Anolis sagrei: one gene and its partner. The protein of the gene in region 1 binds, or shares a complex with, the protein of each later gene. Links are inferred from orthologs where the notes say so. Each region holds a gene or a part of one and is shown on either strand. Other genes may lie near its edges.

Region 1 (7,976 bases):
TCTCTCCTAAAGGAGTCTCAAAGCTGCTCAATGTAGAGCATTAGCATACAATTTAAAATATACCAATGTGCAAAAATTAAAACAGGATTAAATATAAACAATATTAAAAATTCCCAGTTAAAAACCATTAAAACATATTAAAAGTTAAAAACCATAAGGTTCCTTTATTTAGAAAGATTGTACCCTACCAACCTACATCCATAGCATGCTCAAGTAAGTATATGATGGAGAGCAACATCTTTGTTAAACTTCATTAATGATGAGAGAAACCTCCCACAAGGATGGTAAAACATCAAAACACCAGGGCGTCCCCTGGACAATGTCCTTGCAGACAGCCAATTCTCTCACACCAGAAGTTTCTCAAGTTGCTCCTAACATGTAAAAAAAAGGAAAAATAATAATTTCCATGCTCTGTGGGGCTGATGGAAGCACTCAGCTAAAATAATCTGATGTCCTATGTCTCTAAGAAACAAAGACCAGATGCAGAAATTGTTCCTTGTGTGTGACATGAAAGCTAAAGAGCAGCAAATGTTTACCAGGTTACACATATCAATCCATCAGAAAGTAATTTTGTTGGGTAATTTCAAAAATGAAAAAGCATATGCAATGGTAAAGCAACAGCAGTAGTTTTTAGCAGATCAGAAGCTTCTTGTGCATAGCTGTAGGGAAAATGAGTTTCATAAATACAGGAAGAGAGTCAAGTTATAAAAGAACTACATTTCAAAGAACTACATTTCTATATAGTAAAGTTAGGGCCTAGCTATCTAACTTACCTATCTCTGCATGCATCTTGTCTCTCTTCATGCTGACAGAAGAAAAAAATTGGAGGACTTGGAGGGGGGGGGGGGGCTTGCATGTGGCTAGAAACTTTGAATAAAAAGAGGTGTGTCCCTGAGAAGCATCAGTCTAACAAACTAATAGGAGAAAACGAGAGAGAGGGGAAGACAAAGCAATGGGGGAAGAGCTTTCCCTGCCTGCTAACTCATCTACCTATCTTATTAACTTGATGAGGACTATAAACCTGTGCAGGACTTGGCTGAGTTCCAACAAATTTATGCAATGAGGTGAAGTAGGTAAGTAACAGAGCACACTTACCCAGTATCTGACTCAAGGCACACTACAGGGATATCTGTGGGATCATTTGTTAATTTGGCTGCCTGCTGGGCTAGAACCGATATCACACCTGCATGTTCATCTGAGAGAGTGCCACGACCTAGAAGGTAATGATCGATAGTTGAAAAGGAAAATAAATTAGTTTTAAAAATACAGGACAGTTCACTTGGACTGAAAGAGAGTTTCCAAAATACTTACAGCCCAGATTCAGTCCCTGGGAATCAGTGCACAGGACTCCTGCAATGGAGGGATTCTTCATTCTAGGAAAGGAGGAGACAGAAGGGATCAGAAACATCCAGCAGGTGGGACAGAACAACGAAAAAGCAACAATAATAAGCATATAATAAGAATTGGTCCCTAGAGGAGAGTGATAGTGTGGTATAGTGCCTGATTGTTGGGCTACATCTACACCAGGCACGGGCAAACTTGGTCTCTCTAGGTGTTTTGGACTTTTGGACTTCAACTCGCACCGTTCCTCCCATTCCTTGCTGCTGGAGTGCATCCACTGTTTTGACACCGCATCCACTGCCATGCTTTAATGTTGTCTACAAGCCCTGCCAAACTTCAACTCCCAAGATCCCATAGCAGGAAACGTAGTGTCAAGCTGCATCCAGTCCAGAGTGTTGATGCACCTCGCGAAATTGTTCCTTGCAGTGTGTGGGGCTCCCTATTGGCAGGTTGTGTAATTTTCCACGGCGGTGGTGTGTGCAAACTGGTGGGGGGGGGGGGGGCAGAGCGTGGAGTGGCTCCCACATGGCAAGCTGATGTAACCCCCTCCCTGTCTGCATGCATCCTGTGCAGAGAGTCTGGGCTTCTTGATACAGAGAGCAGCCAGTCGGCTGTACCCTGATTTTGAGCTGTAATAGCTATGAAGTCTGTCCCTCCTCCATCCACTTCTATGGAGAAGAGGTTAGCATGCTCATCTCCGCATGAATCATACAAGAGGATACAGCAGGACATGAGGGTGGGCTCCTTTAGCATAGGCATGGACAAACATGGGTCCTCCAGGTGTTTTGGACTTAGAATCATAGAATTGGAAGAGACCTCATGAGCCATCCAGCCTACCCCCTGCCAAGAAGCAGGAATATTTCATTCAAAGCACCTCCGACAGATGGCCATCCAGACTCTGTTTCAAAGCCTCCAACGAAGAAGCCCCCACCACACTCTGTGGCAGAGAGTTCCACTGCTGAATATTTCTCACAGTCAGGAAGTTCTTCCTCATGTTCAGATGGACCAACTTTCTTGTAGTTTGAATCCATTGTTCCATGTCCTAGTCTCCAGGGCAGCAGAAAACAAGCTTGCTCTCTCCTTCCTATGACTTCCTCTCACATAGTTATATATGCCTATCGTATCTCCTCTCAGCCTTCTCTTCTGCAGGCTAAACATGCCCAGCTCTTTAGGCCGCTCCTCATGGGGCTTCAACTCCCATTATTCCTAACAGCCTCAGGCCCTTTCCTTTTCCCCCTCAGCCGCTTCAGAACGGGGCCTGAGGCTGTGAGGAATGGTGGGAGTTGAAGTCCAAAACACCTGGAGGGCCCAAGTTTGCCCACGCCTGATCTACACTAGAATTAATGCAGTTTGACACCACTTTAGCTGCCATGGCCTCTTAGCCTTCTCTGCAAAGAGGGCTGGTGCCTCACCAAAGTTAGTTAGAATGACCCCAAACTGCGTTAGTTCTATAGTGAAGATGCACTCTAAGCTTCCTGGGAGCAGGGCTCGAATGGCATGCCCGTCCCCAGTCCATAGTGCTGATGGGCACTGCGAACTCCAGGCTTACGTGTCTTCCAAATGGTGCTCAAGTGCGCCTTCCATCTCGCCGACCGACTGAGCCTCTTCCGCAAAACACCAGCTCTTCCTTGTCAGCTGACTTGTGTCCACGTGACCAGCCAGCGAGTGGACGGCGGCTCGTTGGGTTCGGAATTCTTCGAGAGTCGGACGCGCCTGCGCAGTAAACATTTCCGCCCAGCGGGAGGTGGGGAGTGTTTTTGTAGACTTCATTTTGCGGATTGAAGGCATTTTTCTTCCTCTTCTTGTTAAGCTGGATCAGCTTTGGTCTTTTCTTGTCACGATCTCCCTCTCATTGTATTTACTATATGTGTAAGGAAAGTGGTCCACAAACATAGGCTGCTTCTGCACTGTGGAATTAATGCAGTTCGACACCCCATGCATGCCCAGTGCTATGAAACTATGGGAATTGTAGTTTTGCAAGGTCTTTCTCTGCCAAAGAGAGCTGCTGTTTGACCAAACTACTGCTACCAGGATTCCATAGCCATGGTAGTTAAATGTGGTGTCAAACTGCATTAATTCAACAGTGTAGAGGCCCCCTTAAGTAACAACTCTTTGTCAAGTGCATAACGTGTTGGAAAGGAAATGGCTGCTGTGAGTTCAATAGGCACACACTTTGTTTCGTTCCCCAAATTATTTTAAAATACAGTGTATGAAATTAATTTCAAGCTATTATTTATTTATTTATGATATTTCTCTTCCACCTTTCTCAAGCCTGAAGGCGACTCAAGGCGGCTTACAAATTGACAGCAATTCGATGCCATCACAATCCACAATATACAATTAAAACATTGAAAACATCATTATAAAATCAATACAATAACCTTTAAAAACATATAATAACCAATGTCTTCCTGTTAATCTCACTCTCCAGTAGCATCGTCTAAGTCTTTCCATGTTTCCGTGTTTGTCTATTGCACTGCACTTCCGTGCTTGTCTATTGCACTGCACTTCCAGGCTTATTCAAAGAGCTAGGTTTTAATATCCCTAGAGAGGGAGATCCACAGCCGAGGGGCCACCACTGAGAAGGCCCTGTCCCTCATCCCCGCCAAAGGCAAAGAAGGCAGGATTGAGAGCAGGCCCTCCCCATACAATCTTAAGTTCCTAGATGGTTCATAGGGAGAGATACATTCAGACAGGTAAGCTGGGCTGGAACAATTTAGGGCTTTATAGGGTAAAGCCAGCACTTTGAATTGTGCCCGGTAGCAAATTGGTAGCCAGTGGAGTTGGCGTAACAGGAGTTGTGTGCTACCTGAGCACTGCTACAGTTAGCAACCTGGCTGCCGCCCGCTGGACAATTTGAAGTTTCTGAACAGTCTTCAAAGGCAACCCCACGTAGAGCGCTATGCATATAAGGCATATATGAAACATAAATGGAATTTGCATTTAGTCTTCAGTTCCATTATGTTTAAAGGTATTCCACAATCATTATCATCCTCCAAAGCACTTCTGGTACCAAGCATGTAGAACGCAGAATCGGCTGAGTATGCCTGCCCAGTTTTGCACAAGTCTGTATACGCGACGCAGGTGAATACAGCACTGAATAAAACATGCAGAATAATCACAGGATATCTTAAACCTACACCTGTTGATAAACTCTAAAAGCTAGCTGACATTGCCCCCCCCTCCACCCCCTGATGTGCGATGGAAAGTTGCTCCTAACTGTGAGGTTGAACACTGAAAGCCATCCTCTGCATGGCTATCAACCTCCTTCCAGTAGACTCAAATCAGTGAGAGGATTCATGAGAACCACCACTCTTCTTAACATTTCCCCAGCAACAGCAAGAGTATCCCTCTGGGTTTCAAAATCAGGCAATTCCAACTGGATGCCCCCCCCCCCCCGAGGGTCTTCCTCCAGGAGCAAATCAAGAATGGGCAACTTGGAAGTCTCTGAAGAGTCTTAGAAATGGGGCAGGCAGATATAAAGACAACCTGGCAAAATGGCACCACGTATAACAGTGTTTCTCAACCTGAGGGTCGGGATCCCTTGAGGGGTCGCGAGGGGTGTCAGTAGGGTCGCCAAATACCATAAGAAAACACAGTATTTTCATTGGACATGGGGGTTCTGTGTAGGAAGTTTGGCCCAATTCTATCGTCGGTGGGGTTCAGAATGCTCTTTGTAGGTGAACTATAAATCACAGCAACTACAACTCCCAAATGTCAAAGTCTATTTTCCCCAAACTCCACCAGTGTTCACCTTTGGGCATATTGAGTATCTGTGTCAAATTTGGTCCAGATTCATCATTTATTTGAATCCACAGTGCTCTCTGGATATAGGTGAACTACAACTCCAAAACTCAAGGTCAATGCCCACCAAACCCAGCATTTTCTGCTGGTCATGGGACTTGTGTGTGCCAAATTTGGTTCAATTCCATCATTGATGGAGTTCAGAATGCTCTTTGATTGTGGGTGAACTACAAATCCCAGTGACTACAACTCCCAAATGACAAAATCAATCCCTTCCAACCTCCCCTCACCCATACTAAAATTTGGGTGTATTGGGTATTTGTGCTAAATTTGGTCTAATGAATGGAAATATATTCTGCATATCAGATATTTACAGTATAATTCATAATAATAGCAAAATTACAGTTGTGAAGTGGCAACAAAATTAATTTTATGATTGGGGGTCACCAAAACATGAGGAACTGTACTAAGGGGTCGTGGCATTAGGAAAGTTGAGAACCACTGGCCTAGAAGAATCCACCTTGTGTGACTGGAACAGAACAAACGACTCTGCATCTGTATGCTTGTCCACAATGCCCTGTCACATGCACAGAGGAAGAATTGTTTAAAGCTACAGGCAATGTGGTCGCTGTTGCCTGTTTTTGGTCAAAAATTATTTAACCACTTGTGTACCCTCTGTTTTTATCAGTTTTATACTTAGTTATGCAATTCTTTTGACATGAAATAAATAAAGAATGCGGAATACTCAACTCGTCTTCCAAAAAGTGCAGTTCCAGCTTGAATTAGGAATTGCTTTGATAACACTTTGTACCTGGGTTATAAATGTCATTTCTTAATTGGTTCTATCATAAAAAATGGAAAAGGTTTATTAAACTGCAAAAACTTTGTTTTGGCAGGTCATCCTGCAGCACATTTGCTGTAGTTTTTCAATGATTGAAGAGCTGTTCAGCAGTGGAACTCTCTGCCCCAGAGTGTGGTGGAGGCTCCTTCTTTGGAGGCTTTTAAACAGAGGCTGGATGGCTATCTGTCAGGTGTGCTTTGAATGCTATTTTCCTGCTTCTTGGCAGGGGGTTGGACTGGATGGCCCATGAGGTCTCTTCCAGTTCAAGGATTCTATGGTTCTGTATCAAGTCTCAACCAATTCAACATAGTTTCCGGAGTATAACAACTACTTTCAATGTAAATACTGCACAATTAAACAGGAAATAGCACTTTCAAGCCAGGAACAGAAAATTTCTCAAATTTTGTTACATAGTGTAATTTGAGAACAGTGGTCCCATCTACACTGCCATACAATACAGTTTGAAACTTTATCATAAGTTAATGTAGATGGGGTTTCAGTCATTAGAACATGTTATATCATTCAGGATCCCTTTGCCTCATTTATGAGCAGGTACAAAAGGAACAGCATATTCATATAATTTTTGAAATTCATAGTTCCATCCCCAAATGAGTAAGGAGCTTTATATCTTAAATTGTCTGATTGTTTCAGATTTTATGATATAATTATCACTATGATATAATAATCTTTGTATGTTTTTAAAAACACATATTTTCTACTTGTGTCAGGAATGTGGGCATCTAATCAGTTGTGTGCATTTACTCTCATTTTCTTATTTTGTACATACTGCCCCCCCCCCCCACCTTCTTTGAAAAATATTTGACAAACTTCCAAAACTAGATTCCAACACGTACTTTGGTACAGACCCATCTTTCTGGCTCTTAGAGCCATATGTGATGATTGGAATGGAGTGCTGGATGCTGCACCTTTAAATCAAATGCCACGTCCATTTCGGCACATCAGCACTCTTTCCCCAATGAGGCCGTCAGGAGAAAAGGAATGATGTCTCTCTTGGTACTTCCAATGACTCATAGAGATGCGAGATGCACACGGCCCCATCTGTCATAGCAATGCAGAGCCAAAGCGAGAACTGCTCCTAATTACTTGGAGAAAATAAAGATTTGTCGTTTTGTAGATCTAGAGCTATGAACAAGGGAGAAATTTCCATCATCATTTCAGGCGGACAGGGATCACAAATGCTAGAGCTGGAGGCAACTTGTAGAATCCTAGTTGGAAGTGAACACAAAGCCATCCAGTCCAATTCTGGCATCCGTTCTTTGTGTTTTGTGTGATCATCCTTCAGTCCTCAAATGGGTTCCTATGTAATTATCTGCACAGTTAAACCACTTTCTTCAATGCCAGTCTGGAACTGCATTAAATGGTTAGTGTAAATAGAGCTGATATTTAGCTTCCAAAATTAGTCAAGATCATGTATGATCAAATTGAGTCTGAGTTTCATTCTGGTGCCCATTCCATTCAAAGTAATTTTCTTATGCAATTGATTTACTCAGGCTACCACCATTTGTCTGATCTGTACTCAACTTTATTAACTTGCATTTAGTCCATCTTTGATCTACTTGACACCATTTAACAGTAATATCTCACTCACTCAATATGGTAGAAACCATGTTTTTGCTTTGCAAGAGCGATGAAGAAATGTGATTGCCAAGATAGCCCGCAGCATCAATAATCTAATTTCCTCTGGGACCTAAAAGATGAAATTCTGTCCCTTAATCTAGCTATTCAAACTCTGTATTCTCCACACTTAGGGCCATCACAAGATTGATTTTTCAGATTGTAATTAATTTGCTACTGATGGCTGCTTTTCCAGGAGAATCTCATCTAGTAAAATGAGTAAGAATTCATAGTTGAATGTCTTGTATAGTGCAGCTTTTGTTAATTTCCCATTGTGAAGTGGCAAAGGCATCTATTTAATTAGAGTAGATGCAGACTGTAGCCAGGAAATCAGAAGATGCTTACTTCTTGGGAGGAGAGCAATGTCCAGTCTCGATAAAATAGTGAAGAGTAGAGACATCAGACTGGCAACAAA
Region 2 (7,485 bases), on another chromosome or scaffold:
AAAGACAACCAATCCCAATTGGAAGTTAAACCGGAATCAAAGTGGTATAACTGTCCAGTGTGGAAAGAAGAATGAATGAATGAATGAATATATATATATATATATACACACACACACACACACACACACACACACACACATTTCTTTCCTACCCAAACAGCAGGCTTTTAATGTAATATCTTCCTTGAATTTTTGATTTAATATCTTATTAATATTATTATTATTATTATTTTGGGATCTTTCAATGGTTTCTCTTTTGCAAAACACGCATGCAAATCCTTCTCTTCAACCCAAACACACATTTAACATTAATTAACATTCATAATTAATATTAGAAATTCATGCACCGAGTTTGTTCATAGGCTTCCGAGGATCGTGCCACTAGCTTTAAAGTGGTTTCAAACTGGGTTAATTCCACCGTGTGGACGCTTAAACTGCTGAGCTGCTGAACATGCTGACCAAAATGTAGGCGGCTCGAATCCAGCGAGTGGGGTGAGCTCCCACTGTTAGCCCCAGCTTCTGCCAGCCTAGCTGTTCAATAATATTTTCACAAATCCCGATGACATCTAGACTTATTATTATTATTATTAGGCCGCCCAGTAGCGCAGCGGGTTAAACTGCTGAGCTGCTGAACTTGCTGACCAAAACGTAGGCGGCTCGAATCCAGCGAGTGGGGTGAGCTCCTGCTGTTAGCCCCAGCTTCTGCCAACCTAGCAGTTCAGAAACATGGAAATGTGACATTGATTGATTGATTGATTGATTGACTCTAAGCTGCACCAGTTGCTATGGAATTCCACGCAACGGGACTCCGGCCATGTTTTCCTTTTATGACATCACATAAAAGTCTTGATCTGTGGCAGTCGGGCCCCGATCGGGCCTTTGCCATGCAGGGCCTGCCGTGGTGTGGGCTCCTGTGGTTCTTCTGCCGGCCTGCTTGGGCCGCCCGACACATAGTGGACAAGCCGGACAACTCCGCTGCCGGGCTGAGCTGGGGGAACGTGGTCGTGATCTTCGCTGTGGTCTTCCTCTTGGCTTTGGGTGTCAAGTGGCTGCGGGACAGGATCCTCGCCGAAGGGGCCAACAAAGCAAAGGTGATTCCTGGGTGGCCTCCCTCCCTCCTCCTGGGGTATCCGCACCGGGTTTTAGTCTGAACTTTACGAGCCCTAACGATGGTGCTTGTAACCGTACTGTATGCTTTGAGAAATAAAGCCTTTCCAGACTGTCTTTGAGGTAATTTCTTCTCTGCAGATGAGGACTATCCTCATCATCTTGCCTTTCCTTGCCGCTCGAGGCAGGGTATGTCAGAGTTCAGACGTTGCCCAGCGGAAGGAAGGCTAGATCAGCAGACACTGAGTTGCAAAATCAGGACTCCGCAGGCTTTGAGTTACAAAAGAAACTAAGTTTACTAAGCACATTCCACAGACACGTCTTACTACAGCGAGCTACAATTCAGGAAGTAGTACGGTTACAAGCAAAGTTCCATCTGACAGTTGCTTTCCTTCTCAACCCATATAGAGATATATGGGTTGAGAAGGAAAGCAACTGTCAGATGGAACTTTGCTTGTAACCGTCCCCTTCACAGCCCTATTTCTCTGTGGTTCACCTGGGCCCCCAAGTCCTTCTCTACGGGTGTTGCAATCCCACCTGGGCCCCCAACTGAGTGCCCTCTTTGCCCCCGTGTCCAGGAGGGCTGTCTGTCCGGCGAAGAGACCCTGGAGTGCCGTCTCTGCCAGAGCTTCTCCCAGATGGAGCAGGAGCTGGTCAAGCAGGTGACGCTGGTGCGCAACCTCAAGGCCGACCTCTCCTCGCGCCACAGCACCTGCACGGTCCCCGGGTGCCAGCGGGGTCAGCGGAGCCGCAGCGGCAGCAGCATCGGAGCCTTTAACCTGGTGGTCTACGACGTGGCCGAGGAGAAATGAGGACACAATACCAGCATGAGAAAGCAGCCAAGTGGCGTCCGTTGCTTCTTACCCTTTACTTGGGGGAGGGTTCTAGACCAAATGTGTCAGAATAAATATTTATTTATTTATTTATTTATTTACAGTATTTATATTCCGCCTTTCTCACCCCGCAGGGGACTCAGGGCAGATCACAATGCACGTATACATGGCACATCTTCGATGCCACACAACATATATAGAGAGAGATACAGAGGCTATTTACACCTAATAGGCAGTAAGAGCACCTAAAGCTTCTGAGAGCTTCTGTTCAACCATCTCAAAGCTCCCTGCTTGGGCGGTGGTGGCACGATCGTCAGCATAGATGAAACTCTCCATCCCTTCTGGCAGTGGCTGGTCATTTGTGTAAATGTTAAACATGAGGAACTGTATTTAGAGGCAATAAGAAGACTGAGAAGTCCGAGAGCTTCTGTTCAATCATTGCAAAGCTCCCTGCTTGGGCAGTGATGGCATGATCGTCAGCGTATATTAAACTCTCTGTCCCTTCTGGCAGTGGCTGGTCATTTGTGTCAATGTTAAACATGCATGGGAGCAGGCCGTTCTTCAGTTTCTGCCATCTGCTTCTCTGGCCCTGGAACTCAACAAAAAAGCTCCTGTTTTGTAGCAGATTTCCTATGAAGTCCTTTTTTATATTCTATGTTCTTCTCTGCATTTTATATGGAATAGAAATCAGTCAATTTTCCCTGTAATAGACAGTAAGAGCACTTAAAGCTTTGGAGAGCTTCTGTTCAACCATTACAAAGCTCCCTGTTTGAGCGGTGATGGCATGATCGTCAGCGTATATCAAACTCTCTGTCCCTTCTGGCAGTGGCTGATCATTTGTGTCAATGTTAAACACGAGGAACTGTATTAAGAGGCATTAGGAAGGTTGAGAAACACTGACCTAAATCTTCGGAGAGCTTCTGTTCAACCATTACAAAGCTCCCTGCTTGAGTGGTGATGGCACGATCATCAGCATAGATGAAACTCTCTCTCCCTTCTGGCAGTGGCTGGTCATTTGTGTAGATGTTGAACATGGATGGGGCAAGCACGCTCCCCTGAGGCAGGCCGTTCTTCTGTTTCCGCCACCTGCTCCTCTGGCCATGGAACTCAACAAAAAAGCTCCTGTTCGGTAGCTGATTTCCTTGAGTGGTGATGGCACGATCGTCAGCATAGATGAATCTCTCTGTCCCTTCTGGGAGTGGCTGGTCATTTGTGTAGATGTTGAACACGAGGAACTGTATTAAGAGGCATTAGGAAGGTTGGGAAACACTGAGCTAAGGCTTCGGAGAGCTTCTGTTCAACCATCTCAAAGCTCCCTGCTTGAGCGGTGATGGCACGATCATCAGCATAGATGAAACTCTCTGTCCCTTCTGGCAGTGGCTGGTCATTTGTGTAGATGCTGAACATGGATGGAGCGACTCGCTCCCCTGAGGCAGGCCGTTCTTCTGTTTCCGCCATCTGCTTCTCTGGCCCTGGAACTCAACAAAGAAGCTCCTGTTTTGTAGCAGGTTTCCTATGAGGCGGGTGAGGTGGTCGTCCTTTGTGATACTATACATTTTTCTCAGGAGGAGGCAGCGGTGGTTCACAGTCTCATAGGCTTCTGACAGGAGGTGGTGAAAATCAGGGAGGAATAAAGCCAGGCAGTTCAGGTGCCGCTCTAGGCCCCGCTCCTCGTCTTCTCTCCATTGTCTATATGAGGGAGAGGAAAAGAGACGGGCGGGCTAGAGCGGAGCGGAAGTGTTGCCTGCCGGAAGTGTCCGTCTGGAGAGGAGACTCCATTTCCCGGCGTGCCCCGCGGGATTGTGAGGGAGGGAGGGAAGAAGACAGCCAAACCATAGAGATCTCAAAGCCCGGCCCTTCAGGTACCGCTCTAGGCCTCACCCCTCGTCTTCCCTCCATTGTGTATCTATGTAGATAAGAGAGAGAGGCGCGCGGGCTAGAGCGGAGCGGAAGTGCTGCCTACCAGAAGTGTGGGTGTGGAGGGGAGACTCTAAGGAGGGCGACAGCGGCGGCCATGCAGTTCAGGTCCTGCTCTAGGCCCCTCGCCTCGTCTACCCTCCATTGTCTATATGGGAGAGGAAAAGAGACGGGCGGGCTAGAGCGGAGCGGAAGTGCCTGCCTGCCGGAAGTGTCCTTGTGGAGAGGAGACTCCATTTCCCGGCGTGCCTCGCGGGATTGTGAGGGAGGGAGGGAGGGAAGAAGACAGCCGAACCATAGAGATCTCAAAGCCCGGCCCTTCAGGTGCCGCTCTAGGCCTCACCCCTCGTCTTCCCCCCATTTGTGTATCTATATAGATAAGAGAGAGAGGCGCGCGGGCTAGAGCGGAGCGGAAGTGCTGCCTGCCGGAAGTGTGGGTGTGGAGGGGAGACTCTAAGGAGGGCAACAGTGGCGGCCAGGCAGTTCAGGTGCCGCTCTAGGCCCCTCGCCTCGTCTACCCTCCATTGTCTATATGGGAGAGAAAAAGAGACGCGCGGGCTAGAGCGGAGCGGAAGTGCTGCCTGCCGGAAGTGTCCGTGTGGAGAGGGGACTCCAAGGCCTGGCCTTCTCCTCCTCTTCCTCCTCCGGGTTCTCCTCCTTCTCCTTCCGAGAGCGATGCTTCGCCCGAAGGCGCTCACGCAGGTCCTGAGCCAGGCCAACACCGGCGGCGTGCAGAGCACCCTGTGAGTGTCTCCCTCGATTAGCTAGGCCTCACTTCCGGCCTCTCTAGGAACGCCTCTCCCTCCATTCGCAGAGGCCTAGTCCTCACAACAAGAGTCATAATAGTCATAATAATAATAATAATAATAATAATAATAATAATAATAGAATCCTTCCCTTCTATCATCATAATAATACTAATAAGAGTGGGAGTGAAGGAGCCAGCCCCCACTTCCGGTGTGGCTTGGACTACATCTCCCAGAATCCCCTCTGCCTTGTCACCCTCCTCCTCCTCTTGGGCTTCTTGGGGGCCAAAGTTAGGATCACTTGACTGTATCTATCCACAAGGGAAACATATTATTATAATAGTATTGCTATTATATTATTTACTATTATTATATTGTATATTTGCAAGGGGAGGAGTATATTAGTATTTTATTATTACTATTACATTATTATATTATATATGTAAAAGGGAAGAATTACAGTATTATTATTATTATTATTATATTGCGGTATATATTCGCAAGGGAAGTAGTATATTATTATTATATTACTATTGCTATGACATTATTATATTGTATGTGTACAAGGGAAGTATTACATTATTATTATTATTATTATTATATTACTGTATATATTTGCAAGGAAGTAGTATATTATTATATTACTATTATATTACTATTACATTATTATTATTATATTACTGTATATATTTGCAAGGAAGTAGTATATTATTATATTACTATTATATTACTATTACATTATTATTATTATATTACTGTATATATTTGCAAGGAAGTAGTATATTATTATATTACTATTATATTACTATTACATTATTATTATTATATTACTGTATATATTTGCAAGGAAGTAGTATATTATTATATTACTATTATATTACTATTACATTATTATTATTATATTACTGTATATATTCACAAAGGAAAGATGATATTATTATATTATTATTGTTATTATATTATTTACTATTATTATATTATATATGTAAAAGGGAAGAATTACAGTATTATTATTATTATTATTATATTACGGTATATATTCGCAAGGGAAGTAGTATATTATTATTATATTACTATTACGTTATTATATTGTATGTGTACAAGGGAAATATTACATTATTATTATTAGTATTATTATATTACTGTATATATTCACAAGGGAAACATTAGTATTGTTATTATATTATATATGTACATGGGGAGAATTACATTATTATTATTATTATTATTATTACATTATGGCATATATTTGCAAGGGAAGTAGTATATTATTATTACATTACTATTGCTATTACATTATTATATTGTATGTGTACAAGGGAAATATTACATTACTGTATATATTCACAAGGGAAACATATTATTATATTAGTATTGTTATTATATTATTTACTATTATTATATTATATGTGTACAAGGGAAGAATTGCATTGGTATTATTATATTATGGTATATATTCACAAGGAAAGTAGTATATGATTATTATAATATTATATTACTATTACTATCACATTATTATATCATACAATATATGTAAAAGGGAAGTATTATATTAATTTATTTACAACATTTATGTCCCGCCCTTCTCACCCTGATTGGACTCAGAGCGGCTTACAAGTTATTTGTACATACAAGATAGTATATTATTATCATAACAAAATATAAGTAGTATATATTACTATATAGTACTATATGTTGTTATTATTATTATTGCAGTTATTATTGTGATGCTATTATTATTCTGATTATTGTTCCCAGGCTGCTGAACAACGAGGGCTCGCTGCTGGCGTACTCGGGGTACGGGGACACGGACGCGCGGGTGACGGCAGCCATTGCCAGCAACATCTGGGCCGCTTACGACAAGAACGGCCACCAGGCCTTCAACGAGGACCACCTCCGCTTCATCCTCATGGACTGCATGGTGCGCACGCCGGGGCATGACTCCTCAGAATCATAATAGCAATAATAATAATAATAATAGCAATAATAAGGGTCTCAGAAGCAGGATGATAACAATAACAATGCATTTCTCAAAAGCAGGATGATGATAATAATAAGGTTCTCAGAAACAGGATAATAATAATAATAATAATAATAATAATAATAATAATAATAATATTTTTTTATTTATCTTGTCAGGAGCAACCAGATTATTATTATTATTATTATTATTATTATTATTAATAATAATGATCTCATATGCAGGGTAATAATAATATGGTTCTCAAAAACAGTATCATAATAAAAATACTCAAAAGCAAATAATTATTATTATTTATTTCTAGTATTTGTACCCCGTCTCTGAATTTTATTTTATTATACATTATTATATTACTGTACGTATTCTCAAGGGAAGTAGTATATTATTATTATATTATTATATTACTATTACATTATCATATTATATATGTACAAGGGAAGTAGTATATTAGTATTACTATTATAGTACTGTACATATTAGCAAGGGAAGTAGTATATCATTATTATATAATTATATTACTATTACATTATTATATTATTTAGGTACAAGGGAAGTAGTATATTAGTATTTTATTATTATATTACTATTACTATTGCATTATTGTATTATGTATGTAGAAGGGAAGTATTACATTATTATTATTATATTACTGTACATATTTGCAAGGGAAGAAGTATATTATTATATTATTATATTACTATTACATTATTATATTGTATGTGTACATAAACAAGGCCGCTACCATCACAATTACAATAATATAAACACAATCAAATACAAACATCATCATAATAATATTCTTGAAGCAGGATGATAATAATAATAATAATAATAATAATAATAAGGTTCTTGAATCTGCATAAGAATAATAGTAATAATAATAAGGTTCTTGAAAGCAAGA

Evidence for each region. Proteins that work in one complex are often made in the same cells at the same time.
Region 2: LAMTOR5 (region 1) and LAMTOR2 share a complex: the UniProt entries of both Homo sapiens proteins name them as parts of the ragulator complex. The link is inferred for Anolis sagrei from reciprocal best matches to the Homo sapiens genes LAMTOR5 and LAMTOR2.

The regions. Positions count from the first base shown.
Region 1 is NC_090024.1:183,624,047-183,632,022, reverse strand, and holds the start of LAMTOR5 (ragulator complex protein LAMTOR5), read right to left. Parts: upstream 3,007-7,976; 5' UTR 2,926-3,006; coding exon 2,891-2,925; intron 1,374-2,890; coding exon 1,312-1,373; intron 1,214-1,311; coding exon 1,096-1,213; intron 1-1,095. UniProt on the Homo sapiens protein: As part of the Ragulator complex it is involved in amino acid sensing and activation of mTORC1, a signaling complex promoting cell growth in response to growth factors, energy levels, and amino acids.
Region 2 is NC_090032.1:22,562,108-22,569,592, forward strand, and holds the start of LAMTOR2 (ragulator complex protein LAMTOR2), read left to right. Parts: upstream 1-4,441; 5' UTR 4,442-4,532; coding exon 4,533-4,600; intron 4,601-6,361; coding exon 6,362-6,524; intron 6,525-7,485. UniProt on the Homo sapiens protein: As part of the Ragulator complex it is involved in amino acid sensing and activation of mTORC1, a signaling complex promoting cell growth in response to growth factors, energy levels, and amino acids.